Linked DNA regions of Pelodiscus sinensis. The protein of the gene in region 2 interacts with the protein of the main gene of each other region in a biochemical or structural test. Links are inferred from orthologs where the notes say so. Each region holds a gene or a part of one and is shown on either strand. Other genes may lie near its edges. The genes, in order: FGF14 and SCN8A.

Region 1 (7,759 bases), on a different chromosome or scaffold from region 2:
CAGAATCCTAGGTGACAGCAAGGCGGCCAAGAGGAAAAGTGGAGATGCCGGTGCACTGACCTCCCCTGGTTTGGGACCAGTCAGGTCCTGAAGGTGGAGGATCAGGGAGGTTCAACCTGTACAACAAAGAATACAAAATGTACTGTGCTCACTTCATATTATTGTATTACAAATATTTGCACTATAAAAATGATAAATTGAAAAATGCCATTTCTTCTGTTTGTCTCATTCAAGTACTGTAGTGCAATCTCTTTATTACGAAAACACAACTTACAAATGTAGATTTGTTTGTTACATAACTGCACTCAAAAGCAAAACAGTATAACACTTTAGAGCCTATAAGTCCACCCGAACCTACTTCTTGTTCAGCCAATTACTAAGAGAAACAAGTTTGTTTACATTTACAGGAGATAATGCTGCTTGGTTCTTATTTACAATTTCACTTGAAAGTGAGAACTGGTGTTTACATGGCATTTTTGTAGCTGTCACTGCAAGATATTTATGTGCTAGATATGCTAAATGTTCGAATGCCCTTTCATGCTTTGGCCACCATTTCTGAGGACATACTTCCATGCTGATGATGCTTGATTAAAAAAATGTGTTAAGTAAATTTGTGATTGAATTCCTTGGGGGAAAATAGTAAGTCTTCTGCTCTGTGTTTTCTCACATTCTGCCATATATGTCATGTTATAACAGTCTTAGATGATGGCCCAGCACATGTTATTTCTTTGAACACCTTCACTGCAATTTGGCAAAACACAAAGAAGGTACCAATGTGAGATTTCCAAAGATAGTTACAGAAATGAACCCCAGCTTTAAGAATCTTAAGTGCCAGAGAGTGTGGAGCATGCTTTCAAAAGTCTTAAAAGAGCAACATTCTGATGTGGAAACTATAGAACCCAAACCACCAAAAAAGAAAATCAACCCTCTGCTGGTGGCATCTGACTCAGATGAGGAAAACGAACATGGTTCAGTCTGCACTGCTTTGGTCCTTATCTAGTAGAGCCCATCATCAGCATAAACGCATATCCTCTGGGATGGTGGTTGAACCATGAAAGGACACATGAATCTTTAGCACATTTGGCACACAAAAAAGCTTGCAATGTTGGCTACAACAGTGCCATGTGAATGCCTATTTTTATTTTCAGGTGACATTGTGGACAAGAAGTGGGCAGCATTATCCCCTGCAAATGTAAACAAACTTGTTTGTCTGAGGCAATGTCTGTACTGCAGACTTTTTTCGGAAGAACCTTTTTTCGGAAGAGAGCTTCCAAAAAAGCTTCTTTCAAAAGAGAGCATCCACACTGCCAAAGCGCATCGAAAAAACAATCTGCTTTTTCAAAAGATAGTGTCCAGACTGAATGGACGCTATCTTGCATGTAAGCTATGATTACTATGGATGATTACTATGGATAGCCACCAGGGCACCTGTGCTTTTTCCTCTTTCCCCTTCTTCTGAAAGAACTCCCTCTTCCTAGTCCACACACACCTTTTTCCGAAAGAGCTCTTTTGGAAAAAGGCTTCTTCCTCGTAGAAAAAGGATTACCAACACCGGAAAAAACCCTCTGTTCTTTCGATTTACTTTAGAAAGAACGTGATTGCTGTGTGGACATAACTCAGGTTTAGTCAGAAAAATGGGCATTTTTTCCGACAAAACTCTGTATTGTAGACATACCCTGAGTGATTGCCTGAAAAAGAAATAGGACAGAGTGGACCTGTAGGCTCTAAAATTTTACACTGTCTTATTTTAGAATGCAGTTATTTTTGTATATAATTCTACATTTGTAAGTTCAAGTTCCATGATAAAGAGAATGCACTACAATACTTGTATCAAGTGAATGAAAATGCTATTTCTTTTATTTTTACAATGTAAATATTTATAATAAATACAAAGTGTGCACTGGATACTTTGTATTCTGTGTTGTAACAGAAATCAATATATTTGAAAATGTGAAAAAAATCAAAATATATGTATACAAATGGTATTCTATTATTGCATAAGAGCATTGTTAATTGCACAATTAAGCATGATTAATTTGTAATCACTTAACAGGCCTATTTACAGTTATTTATTTCTTTTTACCTGAAATGCCAATGAAAGGCAATATGGAATCTACATACATTTATATCAAAGGTTTCTTGTTTGACAAAGTGTTTTGTTAATATATGGAAAGAAAAATGTTAATTAGCATATGTTTGTTACTTTATCCACTAGCAGTTTGGTCATTTAAAAGGAATACATTAGCATTAAGTTAATCTTTGAAATAATTAACAATTAAATAAATGACATTGTTTATTTACATAGCCAGCTGCATCTAGCTCAAATGAATTTGATTTGAGACATATTTATCAGTACTTTAATTCCGTTTTTTAGAATTTTACCTAGATTTTAAACATTTTGAGTGTGAATTTGCAACACTCATAAAAATACATAATGTAGAGATTTTCCATTTTTTTTATGTTTTAGAAATGTGCCTAGCAAAACAGCAAATTAGTAGTTAGAAATGAGAAGAGGGAAAACCAGAAAATATTGAAAAGCCTAGTGCTCCTTCAATCCCCTTGATGGGTTTAGATATCCACACTTTTCTTAATCTGAAAGAAAATAGGGAGGTTTTAATGCAGCAAATTTTTTCTCCTAAACACAATGTAATTACTGGACCTTGGGCAAACTGATGTGTCTATACTTCCATAGGTCTGTTAGCAAAACCTTCACTCTGACTAAAATAACACACTTTTTATCATAGGTTAAGACAGCAGAGGGCTCCCTTGAGTTTTCTTTGGTATATCTAAAGCTGTAAACAACTATTCTGCATTTCTGAGAAGCAAGCAGAAAGCTTTTATGTTTGATCTCTGGAGTAGGAAACACCGTCCCTTTCCCACCTTACAGCAAAAACCCTCAGATTTACAGTGGCAAACTGAGTTAACTTTACATGTTTGTGGTGAAGCTCTGTTTAGAGGAGATTAGATAAAGTGAGCACTGATTGTCGATTATTTATCAATGAGTGTTTTAGAACGATCCTTTAAGGGAGTATGGCGTTGTTGAGGCAAACCGCGTGGCTAAATCACAAGGCAACGCTATAACAAACAAAGCTAGATCGCGGTGGGGGTGGGGGTTCTTGCTTCGCTCCCCCCCCCCCCCTTTGTCTGAAATACCCGCATAAACAACCACGACCCCTTTCTTAAGGACTCCTTTCTTTTTGTTCTGGTACTTCCAAAGCAAGGGAAATGTCCCACCTTTAAAATGCTGAAGTTCACCACAGAGGTTTCATTGTCCTGTCGCAGTAGGAGGACGGATCCAGTTAGAAGACAGTATGGACTAAACCCTCAGTCTTTTTAAAGTGTGAGGAAGGGAAGTAGTTTTAAACACAGTCTATTATACAACGCGAAAACACGACATCAAATACAATCAAATTTAAAACTCCTCTGATTGTATTAATTAGGGTAACTGTAGCAATTGTATGGAAATTGCCGCACGGTTGAAATCGCCAGACAGAAAATCCAATCTGAATGCTTTTTAGCTGAATCTGTTTAGAACCACTTTCAAATAAAATTGAATTAAAACGTATTATCCAGATCTAATTGAGCGTGTACTCCTCCGAGTTGATCTAGGTTTAACATGAAATGTGTGTAAAGGAGATGCTTCCATAAGCTTTTGCCCTCGATGTGAAAATAGTTCTTTGTAGATTAAAGGATTTAGGGAAATAATGGTCGAAACTGGAGCAACTGAACTATCCGTTCAAATAACAGCATGTTGAGCTTTGTATTGCGAAATGGTATATTTTGCAAGGAAGTGTTTAAGCTTCAAAACATGGTATTGGAAAGAGCTGGCTTTTGAGCTGAATACACCTAAAGGGAAAATAGGGCAGTTTGAAAGCGGGACCAGTACAATAACAAGTTTTAAAGCCTGTCTAATGGGGGAGATATACACACAAGGAGACGACCGCTGCACGAAACCTATTAATTATGTACATAGAACAGTAATTGTAAAGTTTGACCACTATCAGAGACAGATCGACCAAAACCAAATTGATAGACCCGAGAGGGGGGTCCAAAAGCCATGCTTACAGAAAATAGGCTAATAAGGAAAAGTCCTGTGGCACCTTCCTAACACGTTTATTGGCGCACAAACTTTGGTGGGCAAAGACCCACTTTTGCCCACGAAAACTTATGCTCCAATAAATCTGTTAGTCTGTAAGGTGCCAAAGGATTTCTGGTTGTTTATGCAGATTCAGACCCCTCTGATTCTAGGCTAATCAGGATTGTGAAACCTATTGTGTCAAATGTATTGGTAAACTCCTTGGGGGAGACCATATGGATTTTCTATACCTGGTACATATTGCCAGTGCCCAATAGAGAACACATCCATATTTTATCAAACACAACAATAACAGCAATCCATAATTGCCCATTAGAGGGCGATCAATAAATCTACCGCCCACGTAGAGATGTTTGTAGGCGCAGCACAGGATACATTCAGTGGTTATAAAGCCCTGTAGACTAGCTGGTTTATCTTCTCGTTTAAAAGTATATTGGTTGTCTTGTTTCTCTGTAAGACAAAGAGTGTGTATCGGTTTTAGCTGGAAGGTTCCCTGGGCTGCGTAGGCGTGTTTCCTTCTAACCAGCTCTTAATCATACGCAGGAGGAGTGATTTTTTGAACAGAGGGAATCGGCTTGCCTAGCAACCTTTTCCAGGTTGTGTAAGTCTGAAGAATATTTGGGCTTTCACTTCCGAACTCCCAGTAGTGAGAGAAAAGGGTCCTACGCCCGGGTGTGTCCTGGGAGCCATAAATGTGTGTCCCAGAGTAGAAAGCCCCTCTCTCTCCTTCCCTCCCTAAGCGGCTGGGGATTCATTTACCCAAAGCAGCTGTGTGTCCAATACAGAAGGAAGGGCTGGGGGGAAGGTGATGTTATTGCTGAGGCTGAGCGCCGTGTGTTTACACGGGACTCTGACTTCTCTTTCGTTCCCTTGCATCCCACCCCAACTTCCCCGCCTTTGGCTAGGCTGCTGGAGAGCCACCCGGGGAAGTAGGGGGTCGGGATTGCCTGAGTGCCTGGCCGCTATTCGCTGTCATCCTGCTCCCTAGCCGCTTCGCAGTGGCAGGATCGGCTGTTACCGCTCCGTTCGCTGGGGCTTCTCTCCGAATTATCGCGTTCACACTGTGCCTGTGCCGTGCGAGGCGCGAACGGGTCCTTTTATAGCGCGTTCTTTCGCCTCCCTCTCCCCCGGCTCCCCCGCCCTCGCGGTGTCACCATTGAAAAATGACGAGCCTGCCTCCAGAAGGGAGATCCCCGCAACTTTGAGCGGGCTGGGCGGAGTGGAGGAGCCGAGGCTCCCGGCTCCAGCCGGCCGGCTTGGGACCGCGTGTGGGGGAGTGTGTGCAAGGGGGATAGGGGCTCGCGCGCGCGCGCGGGAGAGAGCGAGCCAGACCCAGCCACCCCTGGGGCTTTGGTAGCGCCTGGGATTAGCCGGCTGCCTCGCCCTCCCTCCAACCAGAGCGGAGAGTTTGTGGAGGGCGCGCCGCGCATTGCAATCAGGGAACCCCAGCGGGGAGCAGAGGCGGCTGCCGCTGCATGGGGACCCGTTAGAAACGAGCAATTCCCCCTCCCCAAAAAATAGCCCCGGCCCTCTCTTATCACCCACCGCCCCCCCCCCCTGTTATTTTTCTCTGCTGCTGCTTTCCCGGCTGGAGGGAGCCGCGGCGGAGCGGCTGCGATCGCAGCTCTCCCGCCGGAGCAGGCGATGGCTCTCTCCAGATGCTGATTGCTCAAGCACTTGGCGGACACCGGGCAGGAGGCGCGGGCAGGAGGCGGCTGTAGCAGCGGCGGCAGCTGCAATGGGAGTCGGCTGCTGAGGGGCGGCCGGGGGAAGGTGCCTGCCGCCTGCCCCGAGCCGGAGCCGCCGGAGCCCGGGCAGGTGGCACCCGCGGCGGGGGGCCCATGCGGTGACAGCGCCGGGCCGCGGGTGCCCCCTGGGTGCAGTTGCGGCCGGAGGAGGGTCCCACTTGTCCCTGGCGCTCGGGGAATGGGGCCCCGCCGCGGCTGAGCCCCAGCGCCCGCCGAGCCCTTGAACTCCGCTGCAGTGAGCCGCGAGCCGGCTGCCGGGAGCAGCCACCATGGCCGCGGCCATCGCCAGCGGCTTGATCCGCCAGAAGCGGCAGGCGAGGGAGCAGCACTGGGACCGGCCCTCGGCCAGCAGGAGGCGGAGCAGCCCCAGCAAGAACCGGGGGCTCTGCAACGGCAACCTGGTGGATATTTTCTCCAAGGTCCGCATCTTCGGGCTCAAGAAGCGAAGGTTGCGGCGCCAAGGTGTGTTTGTGAGTCCGCCCCTTGTCTCTGTCTGTCTGCCCTTCCCCCAGGAGCCGGGAGTGGGGACAACCTGTAGCGAGCCACCGCCAGGCCAGCAGCCGGGCAAGTTACACGCGGCAAACTCTGCTGGACTGGCGGCTAATGCCATCTCCCACCTAGTACCTGCCCCAGCCCTGAGCTCCGGGCACTGATGTTCCCTCGCTAACTACGGGGTACGCTGCCCGATGGGGCTGGGTAGAAAATACACACGGATCGGTACACATTAGCTCGAGGGGCTCGCAGAGCCAACAGATCGTAAAAGCGGTGGCACAGTGTTATCTGTACATGCTGTTGGTCGGGGAAGTTACTTACTCACAGAATACACCTCCTCAATAATGTAATGCACTATGCCATATCTACCACTTTCCCTGGGTGTTAGCTTTAGTAAACAGAGTCCAGTGGTATCCCTCAAAGGGGCTTTAGGTGTGGTGTCCTCTTCCCTGCACTAGTTGCCTCATCCTGTAATGCAAAGTCTTTTGTATTTCGCTCCCATTCACAAAGCGCTTTACAGGCAGCACTGAGAAAGACGAGCAGCAGTTCAGATGTATGTTAATGCCCTGTATTATCCAGGATGTAATTTATATAGAAAGCAAGGTTTCCTCAAATGCTAGTCTAGTCAGAAGAATAAAGCAACGCCTACAATTGATAGATCCCCTGTTTAAAAAAAACATGAGCGCCTTAGAGATTTAGTTTTTAAAAGGCAAAGAAGGATAAAAACAATCGTTTAATTGAGGAGAGGATAGAATTAAGTGCATTACGTGATATTGATAACGAATGGCTACATAATAAGGGCTCTAATACCCACAACCTATTAATGTTTTTTTAAAGGACGAATAGTACATGTTCAGCTTCTACATGTTCGGTGTCTGACAAAGCAACCTCAGCGAACTATCGCGGATCATTCGTTTCTTTATGCTGTGTGCTCATTTTACATACACTACAAGCGTTCTGTTCTAGACTCCCATTCTTAACAGTAAAGGATCATAATTTTAATGTCCGTAATATGAAAGTAGGAAGTGCATCATGCACTTGTTTAAGGTCCATGAGGGATATTATCACGTACTGTGTATACTCGTGTGTGTGTGTGTGTGTGTAATATACACATACACACACATATATCAATAAAAGTTAGGGCCTATATTATAATGGATAAAATTTGTGGATTATTATAATTTTTTCCTGTAGGTTTCAGAATAGTCAATAAACAGAGGTCTTCAGAATTACACTACTAGCATGATTGTTATTTCCCCCAATGCTTTGTATTAAAATCTTGTACACAAAAGGATAAACCCATATACAAAACATGAATATTTACCATGTTTCTTAATTTTATTGCCCAATTAAAGAGTTATTATACCCTTTAAAATGCAGGGATATTTGATAAAGGAGGCAGATTTTAAATAAACATATTCAA
Region 2 (8,391 bases):
TCTGCAGCCCTGTGGCCTCCCCTGTCTGATCCTCCTGCTCCCCACGCCTCTCTTACCTGTTCCTCCCCAACCCTCCCAGCACTTTAAGAGTGTGCAAATTGCCTAATTCTTGCTCTGTCCCCACTCCTCCCCCTCCTTCCCAGAGGTGGAATGTTGCAAACAGCTGATTCACAGCATTCCATCTCTGGAAGGGAAGGGGAGGAGTGGGGACAGAGCGTGAATCAGGTGATTTGCGTGCTCTGAAAATGCTGAGGTGCAGGAGAGGCACATGGAGAAGGGGGCAGCCAGGGGTTCGGTGGGCTGAAGGTGGTGTCCCAGTGCACCACGTGTGTCCTGTGGGCCACAAGTTGCCCACAACTGACATACATATATAATCTGGGAAAAGGGATAGACAGTGAGGCGGCAACGTTTGCAGAGGATTCAAAATTACTTAAGATAGTTAGTTCCAAAGCAGACTTTGAAGCTCTACAAAGGGACAAAGGGATCTCACATAACTAGGCAACAAAATGGCAAATGAAATTCCTTGTTGATAAATGCAAAGTAATGCCCATTGGAAAACATAATTGTAACTATATATACAAGAAGATGAGGTCTAAAATGGCTGTTTCCTCTCAATAAAAAGTGTCCTCATGGCTAGTTCTCTGAAAGCATCTGTTCAATGTGCAGCAGCAGTCAAACACGCTAAAAAATATAGGAACCACTAGGAAAGGGATGGATAATAAGGCAGACAATATGATGTCACTATGTAAAGCCAGTGTACACCCACACTTTTAAAATTATGCGCAGTTAAAAAAAATTCTAAAAAGATATATTAGAACTGGGAAAAGTATGTGGAGGCACAAAAATGCTTAGGGGGATGGAGCAAATTCCATCTGAAGGGAGATTAACAAGACTGGGGCTGTTCACCTTAAAAATGAAACAAGTAAGGGCAAATATAATAGAGGTCTGTAAATTCATGAGTAGAATAAAAGTAATAAAGAAGAGTTATTTATCTCTTCTCATACACACATGGACTAGGGGGTCACCCAATAAAATTAATAGAAAGCAGGTTTAAAACAAACATCGGGAAGTACTTCTTCAGGCAACATAGCCTGCGAAACTGGTAGCTGGGGATGTAGTTAAGGCTACATAAATAACTGGGTTTTAAAAAACAATTAGATACGTTCATGGAGGATTGGCCTGCTAATGGCTATTAGCTAAGATGTTCAGGGATACAACCTCGTGCTCCGGGTGACTCTAGCCCTGTGACTGACAGAAGCTGGAACTGGATGACAGGGAATGGATTACTTGATAAGTTGCCCTGTGTGACGTAGTGGGGGTACTTGCTGGGCTGTGGTGACCTCTGCTGTCTGGAGCAAGACCCATCAGGGAAAACCTTATTATGCAAAGGTACCATACCGGTTGAACCAGCCTACCCCCCATGGGGAGAAACAAAGGGAGGTGGAAGGCTGCCCTGGCTGGGGGCAGGGCTGGGAGAGGTAGAGTTAGTTCCTGTCTGGAAAGCAGGGGAGAAGGAGCTGGGGAGGGGGGCTGGGACTCCCCCATCTCAAGGGGGGGCACTGAGGCCTCTTAGCCCCAGTTCCTGTAACCAGATTACATCTGTGCTGTGCTGTATCCTGGAGGAGCAATAAACCATCCTCAATTCCACTGGCTGGTGGAGTCTGTTTGTGCCATTTCGGGGTGCAGGAGACGGGGGACCCCCAACGCGCCGTCACACCCTGTTCTGTTCATTCCCTCTGAACCATCTGGGACGAGCCACTGTCAGGAGACAAGATGGACCATTGATCTGATCCAATATGCCCATTCTTATGCAGAGTCCATTGTTCCAGGGATTGTAGCTATTTCAAAAATATTGTATAGATTGCCATTGTAATTGTATAGATTACTCTCTGACTCATTTTTACTCCTGGATCTTCTTACCAGGAGACACAGCCAGACCAAGTTTACCCTGCCACAGAGCCAATGAGTGATAATTAGAGCCCAGAAGTGCTAAACATTGCTAACACTCCTGAACTCTACTAGGAATTGTAGGTGTTCAGCAACTCTCAGGTTCAGGCTCTTCATTCACACCAGAGAGAAGCCAGATTGTGCATGGATATAAAAAAAATGCTTCCAAAAGTTTGGGTTTAGGGAGATGGACCATCTCTTGAGTGTCTAAAAATACTTCAGAAGTGGCTACTGACTTTGGGTGCCCACCATGAGTCACCTTTAAAAGGAGTCCGTTTTTTTCAGATGTTAAGGACACCCTTAATGTCTGATGTTGGACATCTGCCACTTCCATAGATGGTTCTAGCATGTCTAAAATTGGGCACCTAAATTAGTGATTTCTTTTGGGCACTTTAAATTGGCCTGCACTTGTTGCCTTACTGAAGATGCAAAACTGGTTGTAGACTCATATAATGTAACACACGGGGTAAAATTTTGGAAAACACCTACATGACTTAGATATCTATCCACGATTGAGGGACTAGCTAGACTCCTAAGTCATGCTGGCACTATGAAAATGTTATCCATTAAGCACTGTTGATGTCAATGGGACTTATCAGATGCTTAAAATAGAGGATGTGTCATAATTAAACTTGAAATCAGGTGAAACTTGTCTGTTTTTGCTATGGAAATTTACATTTTGGCAAAAGTTCAAGAAACTTTCAGGCAGGTGTTGGGATTGTATGCAGTTTCAGGGGTCTGCCCACCTGGGTCCAATTAGAGGATCAGGGCTTTGGTCAAAGTTTCTGCAATCTCACTGTTTCCAAATAGATACTGGAGATTTATTTGTATTTTCCCTAATACCTTTCAACTCCAAAACTTTTTGGATCAAATCCAGAGATGAGGTGTAAGGACTTGTCTATACACACAATTTGTATCACTTTAACTATTCTGGAATAAAGAGGCTGTGGTTGTCTCCATATATAGATGCTTTTATACCAGTGTAGCTGTTTCTGTGGGGGTTTGAGAATAAGCTCTAGCAACATAAGGTGTCTTTGTACCTCTATGATTGTACCCACACTAGGGAGCTGCATTGGTATATGTAACACCTAATCGACACAAGCCTCCCCCATCGATTTAAGATACACAATTTCTGCTACACTATTCAGTGTACTTAATGCAGTACTTCCATGTGGTAAGGTCCGCGGCTGATGCTCTCCTGTCAACTCGGACTACTTTTCTCATCCTGGTGGATGGAGTACAGGAGTCAACAGGCTTAGAGGTCAATTTATCGCATCTATGCAGACACAATAAATCGACTGCCAATGGATCAATCGCTGCAGTGTAGATCCACTGTATAATGAAGACAAGCCCTATGTCAGTAAAAAAAAAATTAAAATAAAAAAAATCACAGCTCAAACCAAAATAGTTATATTAATACAAAAACTGTGTAGACCAGGCCTTGCACTTGGAGAACTTAAGGCCAATTTATAGACTCTTGCTGATGTGGACTAAGTCTTTGTTTCTGCATGCACAAGCTGGACTTTTTAAAAGTGCACAATTTTTAAACTGATTTAGTTGAAGTGGTGCAAACACACTTAAATTGGGTTACAACTGGCATATATCAATGTAGCTTAGTTCAGTGAGTTACAGACAAGCTAAATCACTACATATACATTATTCTCCAATCCAATGTTACTCTCCATGTGGTCTTTGCTGGGTCTGCATCTGATTCAGACTAAACTGCTTGCAGGGATGTCTCTTCTATGTTTTGTGGAGTCATTGGGCCAAATTCTGCTCCGTGACACAGTAGTAGATTGGAAACCAATCTAGTGGCTTGAGTGATGTTAGTCCCAATTTACACCATTCTATCTGAAAGCAAAGGTTTGCCCAATGATGTGGACCAAGATGGAATTCTAGGATATTATATAGGAATTATTGAGCTCAGTTCCCACCTTTGCCACTTTTGCCCTCGGCGGACTTGGCATATCACTTCATGTCACTAAAATGGGGATAATAATGCCTACCTTAGAGGTTGGTTGGATTTGCGATGGTTAATTAGCACATTATTTGGATAGCACTTTGATACCATAAGGTGATATGACAGAATTATTGGTTCTCTTTGGTCAACGCCTACCACTTGGCTGACTCTCAGTGGTAAGTTCTACACTTGAAGCTCAACCTTGGTTCATTGGTATGAATGAATGCCAGTGAGTTGAAAGCAGACTCCTTTGTGAAACCAAAATGATTTAATTCTGCCCAGAGCTGTCCTAGCCTGGCTGAGGGTGCTATGGTATGTTCCCAGTCAACGAGTGTATTTGGACCTCGGGGGAACTGAACTTAAGGGCTGGTGACCAGGAGAAAGAGCAGACGCATTATTGTTACAGCTTGTTTCAGAGCTGGGGCCCTCACACTTGTTTCCATTCTGTGGACTCTGCGGGTACGTCTCTACAGAAGTGTTATTTTGGAATAACTGACATTCTGAAATAACAGAGCATGTCCACACTGCGAGCCATTATTTCAAAATCACGCCGAGCTGGAGGACTTCTTACTCCGACTCCTGTAACCCTCATTGAACAGGAGTAAGGAGAGTGGAAGGAAGAACACTCTTTATTTGACTTCCTGCTGTGGAGACAGGGCCAAAAGCTGAATTAAGCTATTTCGACTTAGCTATGCAATTGAAGTCGCTGTAGCTGAAGTTGCTTAGCTTACTTTGAGTTTTGCTCTGCTGTGTGGACATGCCCTGTGAGACACTCTCTTCCCACCAGGGCCCTCCCTGACCCTTGGCTTCACTGTCCCCTATTCCTCTCTAGATAGATTCCCTCTGGGCCCCTACATCTACCAAGGAATTTATCTCCCTCTGCTTAAGTGATCCACCAGCTACCCAAGGACCCAGTGCTATGCACATCCAGGGAACCATCCCACCATCAGAGCAGGGAACCCCTACTTGGTGGGGGATTTTCCTTGGAGAAGAGAGGGTTCCCCTTACCCTCCCCATCCCTTGGAATCCCGAGTCCTCCCTCCCCTCCCAGTTCTGAGCCGCTGGATGGAGACATGGTCCCTGCCTGGGCAGATAAGGGGAGAGGGGGTGGGGATAGAGGCGAGTGCAGAGATTTTTGACACGCTCCCTAACCATTCTGCTGAGAGTCATCAATTATGCAAGGGAACTGCACGCTGCACTGGGGGGAAGGCAAGGGAGGCAGCGCACTAAGATGGCGACAACCGCAGTTTCTCCTGCAGCTTCCCCACCTCCGCAGTCCAGCAACGCCTTGCGGGAGTCACGCTAGTTCAGCAGCCACAGTAAGTTGCAGCCCCCGCCCGGGACCCTTGCGAGGCGCGCAGGTTGCGCGGAGGGGCTTCCAAACCCCTGCCCCCATTTGCTTTTTTTTTTTGTGCACCCCCTTCCCCCCCTCCCTCCAGGCGGGGGTTTTGCCGCAGAGCGATTTCCAAGCACCGACAGCTCCTTGCGTGCATGTGGGCCAGTTCCTCTCCTGCCTCCCCACCCGGGGTGCCAGGGTACCCCGCCTGCCCCAAATCGGTCTGGCCCAGCAGCAGCAACCTCTCGGCTGCTTTGGGGCGCACAGGGCCGCTTGCCAGCTGCTCGTGGGGCTTCCCCTTCCCCCCAGGTGGGGGTAGTTCCCTGCACCCCCTTGCACTGGTGAGCTAGGGCTTCTGGCCGGCGGCGGTTCTATTCCCTACTTGCAGCAGCCTGGCATCCTAGCCGCCACCGGGGCGCCTAGGGCTGCGGGCTAGCTCCTTTCCCTCCCCCAGCTGGGAGAAGCGGGGCCTCGGTTCCCCAGTGCCCGCTGCAGCCTGGCTACCTGTCTGCCCTGGGGGAGGGCGAGGGCGGCCTGTCAGCCAGCCCCTGGCCGGGGCGCCTCTCCTGCAGCTGCGACAGCCCCCGCTCCAGCAGCCGGCGAGCTGGTGCATTCCCCCACCCAGTCCGCCCACCCTCAGTCCTGCCAGCGGTCTGGGCTTCATCTAGGCCCCTTCTCGGCGCCCGTCCCCCTAATTTGGGGGGGGCTGTCCCTAGCCCGCCCCCAGCCCGGACCCCCCGCTCACGTCTGGGCTCTTCCCAACCCCCTGGCTGCGGGGCTGGGCTACCCCTTTAGCGCTCCCCCCACACTCCAGCCGCCTGAGCCCCCCTCCGGCCGGGGGGCCAAGTGGAGCAGGGGGAGACGCGGAGGAGGAGGAGGGGGGGGGCTGGCGGTTTGGACCCGAGAGGGGTCTTGGTGTCCCAGCTCCTGTCTTGGGGCCCTCTAGTGCGCGGAGCTTCCTGAGGAGGGGGCGCGGGGCTTTCAAGCCGGGGAGGGGGGGGGGGTTGTTTGGTGCATGTTTGTAAAGACAGGGCGTCACCCCCCCCATCCAAATGACACCAGCCGCGGTGGGGGTGGGCAAGCGGGAAGCTGCAGCTCCAGGCGAGTGGCGGAGGCTTGGGGGTAAAACAGGGAGTTGGGGCCCGGTGCTGCACCTCTCTGGAGCGCTCCCTCCAGGGGTTTGGGGGAGAGGCTCCGGGCGTGGGAGGTTTCGACCCCACTGCCCCTCCAGACGCAGGGCGGGCGCTGCAACCCCCAGGTATCGCACTGCCAAGGAGCAGTTCGTGGGGGGGGGGGCCTTATTTGGGAGACCGGGGGCCTATTTCCCCCGGCCGCTGACTCCTACCCTGCTTCGGGTAACACTGCAGCTGGGAACGCGTGACCCACACGCCCTGCACTTTCCTCGGGGAAAAGGATTTGGTTGGAGGAAGGAGGAGCCAGGTCCCTATGCCCAGCTACCGGTAGGATATTTTGGGGGAGGGGAAGGGCAGAAAGTATTACACGTTGTCTGTGTCTTCCCCACAGCCCTCTTAAGACTTGATCATTCGGATATCAGTACCGGGAGTGTGCTGGGGTGGGGGAAGGCGGTGTTACATGTGTGTGTTTCCTGTGCTGTGGGATGCAAGCTCGTGTGAAAACGAATTAAAGTGCTACATTGTCCTGCATTTTGCTCCAAGGTCTAGGACATGTTGTTGAACTTGGGTGTGCGTGATGCTAAGCAACAGATGATGATTGCAGCCTTATTTTACTTCCTTGGTGGCTGTTGTGGGGGTTTGATTTCCCCTTTGCTAATGAATGGTTATTATGTATAAAATAGCCTTAAAGCATATTTCCCTTCCCTCTTGCCACATGGGCTGAGGCGAAGTGGTCCCTTGTTTGTTGTGGGCGTCAGGTGTGTGGTGCTGAAATGGACAGTTCCCTGGGAACGGTAAAGGGTTAGTGACTGTCTAACAGTGTATTTGTATAATCTGGGTTTGTACTTGGGCCTAGTTACTGATCACGAATTCATACTGCTTTAGGTTTTTCTCCTTCTCTGAGGCTGGTAGAAACTGCCCATAGTGACATGATTCTACCAGGAGGTCTTATCTAGAATGTAAGAAAGGCCATACTGGGTCAGGCCAATGATCTGTCTAGGCCAGTATCCTGTCTCCAGATGCTTCAGTGGGAATGAACAGAACTGGCAATGATGGAGTGATCCATTCCTGTCTTCCATTGCCAGCTTCTGTCAGTCAAAGACATAGGGTCTTCCTGAAGGTTAGGTTGTGTCCTGGATTATTTTGGCTAATTGCCATTGATGGGCATTTCCTCCATGAACCTATCTGCTCATTTTTTTGAAACCAGTTATATCTGTGGTCTCACTACATCCCCTGGCAATGAGTTCATTGTGTGAAGAAGTTCTTCTTTATGTTTGTTTGGCTATTAATTTCATGGGGTGGCTTCTGGTTCACGTGTTATGGGAAAAGGTAAATAATATTTCCGTATTTATTTTTTCCCCACACTATTCATGATTTCATAGACCTCTATCATATCTCTCCTTAATTGTTTCTTTTTTTAAAGATGAACAGTCCCAGTCTTTTTAAAATCCCCCTAGGTTGCTTCATTCCTCTAATAATTTTTATTGCCCTTTTCTGTACTTTTCTCAGTTCTAATACATCTTTTTCAAGTTGGGGTAACCAGAACCTTGCATAGTATTCAAGATGTGGGCATATCAGGGTTTAATACAGTGGCATCCCTTTCCCAGTGGTTCCTAACTATGACTTAAAAAAAAACCATTTTTGACTGCTGCTGCTGCATATAAAGCAGGTATTTTCAAAGAACTATCCATTATTACTCCAAGCTCTCTGTTATAGACCCCATCTTTTCTATGGGGTAGTTGTAATTATTTTTTCAGTGTGCATTACTTTGCATTTATCAACATTGAACTTCATTTGCCCAGTCATCCAGTTTTATGAGATCCTTTTCTAACAGTCAGTTTTAGATTTACCTATCTTGAGTAATTTTGAATCCTTTGCATACTTTTCCACCTCCTGATATATCCCTTTTCCAAGATCTTTTATACATATGTTGAATCTCTGGGTTATATGGATGTTCAGGCCTTATCTGCCTCTTTCCACTGTGAAAAATGACCATTTATTCCTAACTTCTGTTT

The links.
Region 1: the proteins of SCN8A (region 2) and FGF14 form a complex in vitro, tested with the Homo sapiens proteins (2 studies listed by BioGRID). The link is inferred for Pelodiscus sinensis from reciprocal best matches to the Homo sapiens genes SCN8A and FGF14.

The regions. Positions count from the first base shown.
Region 1 is NC_134711.1:246,526,487-246,534,245, forward strand, and holds the start of FGF14 (fibroblast growth factor 14), read left to right. Parts: upstream 1-4,484; 5' UTR 4,485-6,113; coding exon 6,114-6,306; intron 6,307-7,759. UniProt on the Homo sapiens protein: Probably involved in nervous system development and function.
Region 2 is NC_134729.1:5,870,861-5,879,251, reverse strand, and holds the start of SCN8A (sodium channel protein type 8 subunit alpha), read left to right. Parts: upstream 1-5,093; 5' UTR 5,094-5,226; intron 5,227-8,391. UniProt on the Homo sapiens protein: Pore-forming subunit of a voltage-gated sodium channel complex assuming opened or closed conformations in response to the voltage difference across membranes and through which sodium ions selectively pass along their electrochemical gradient.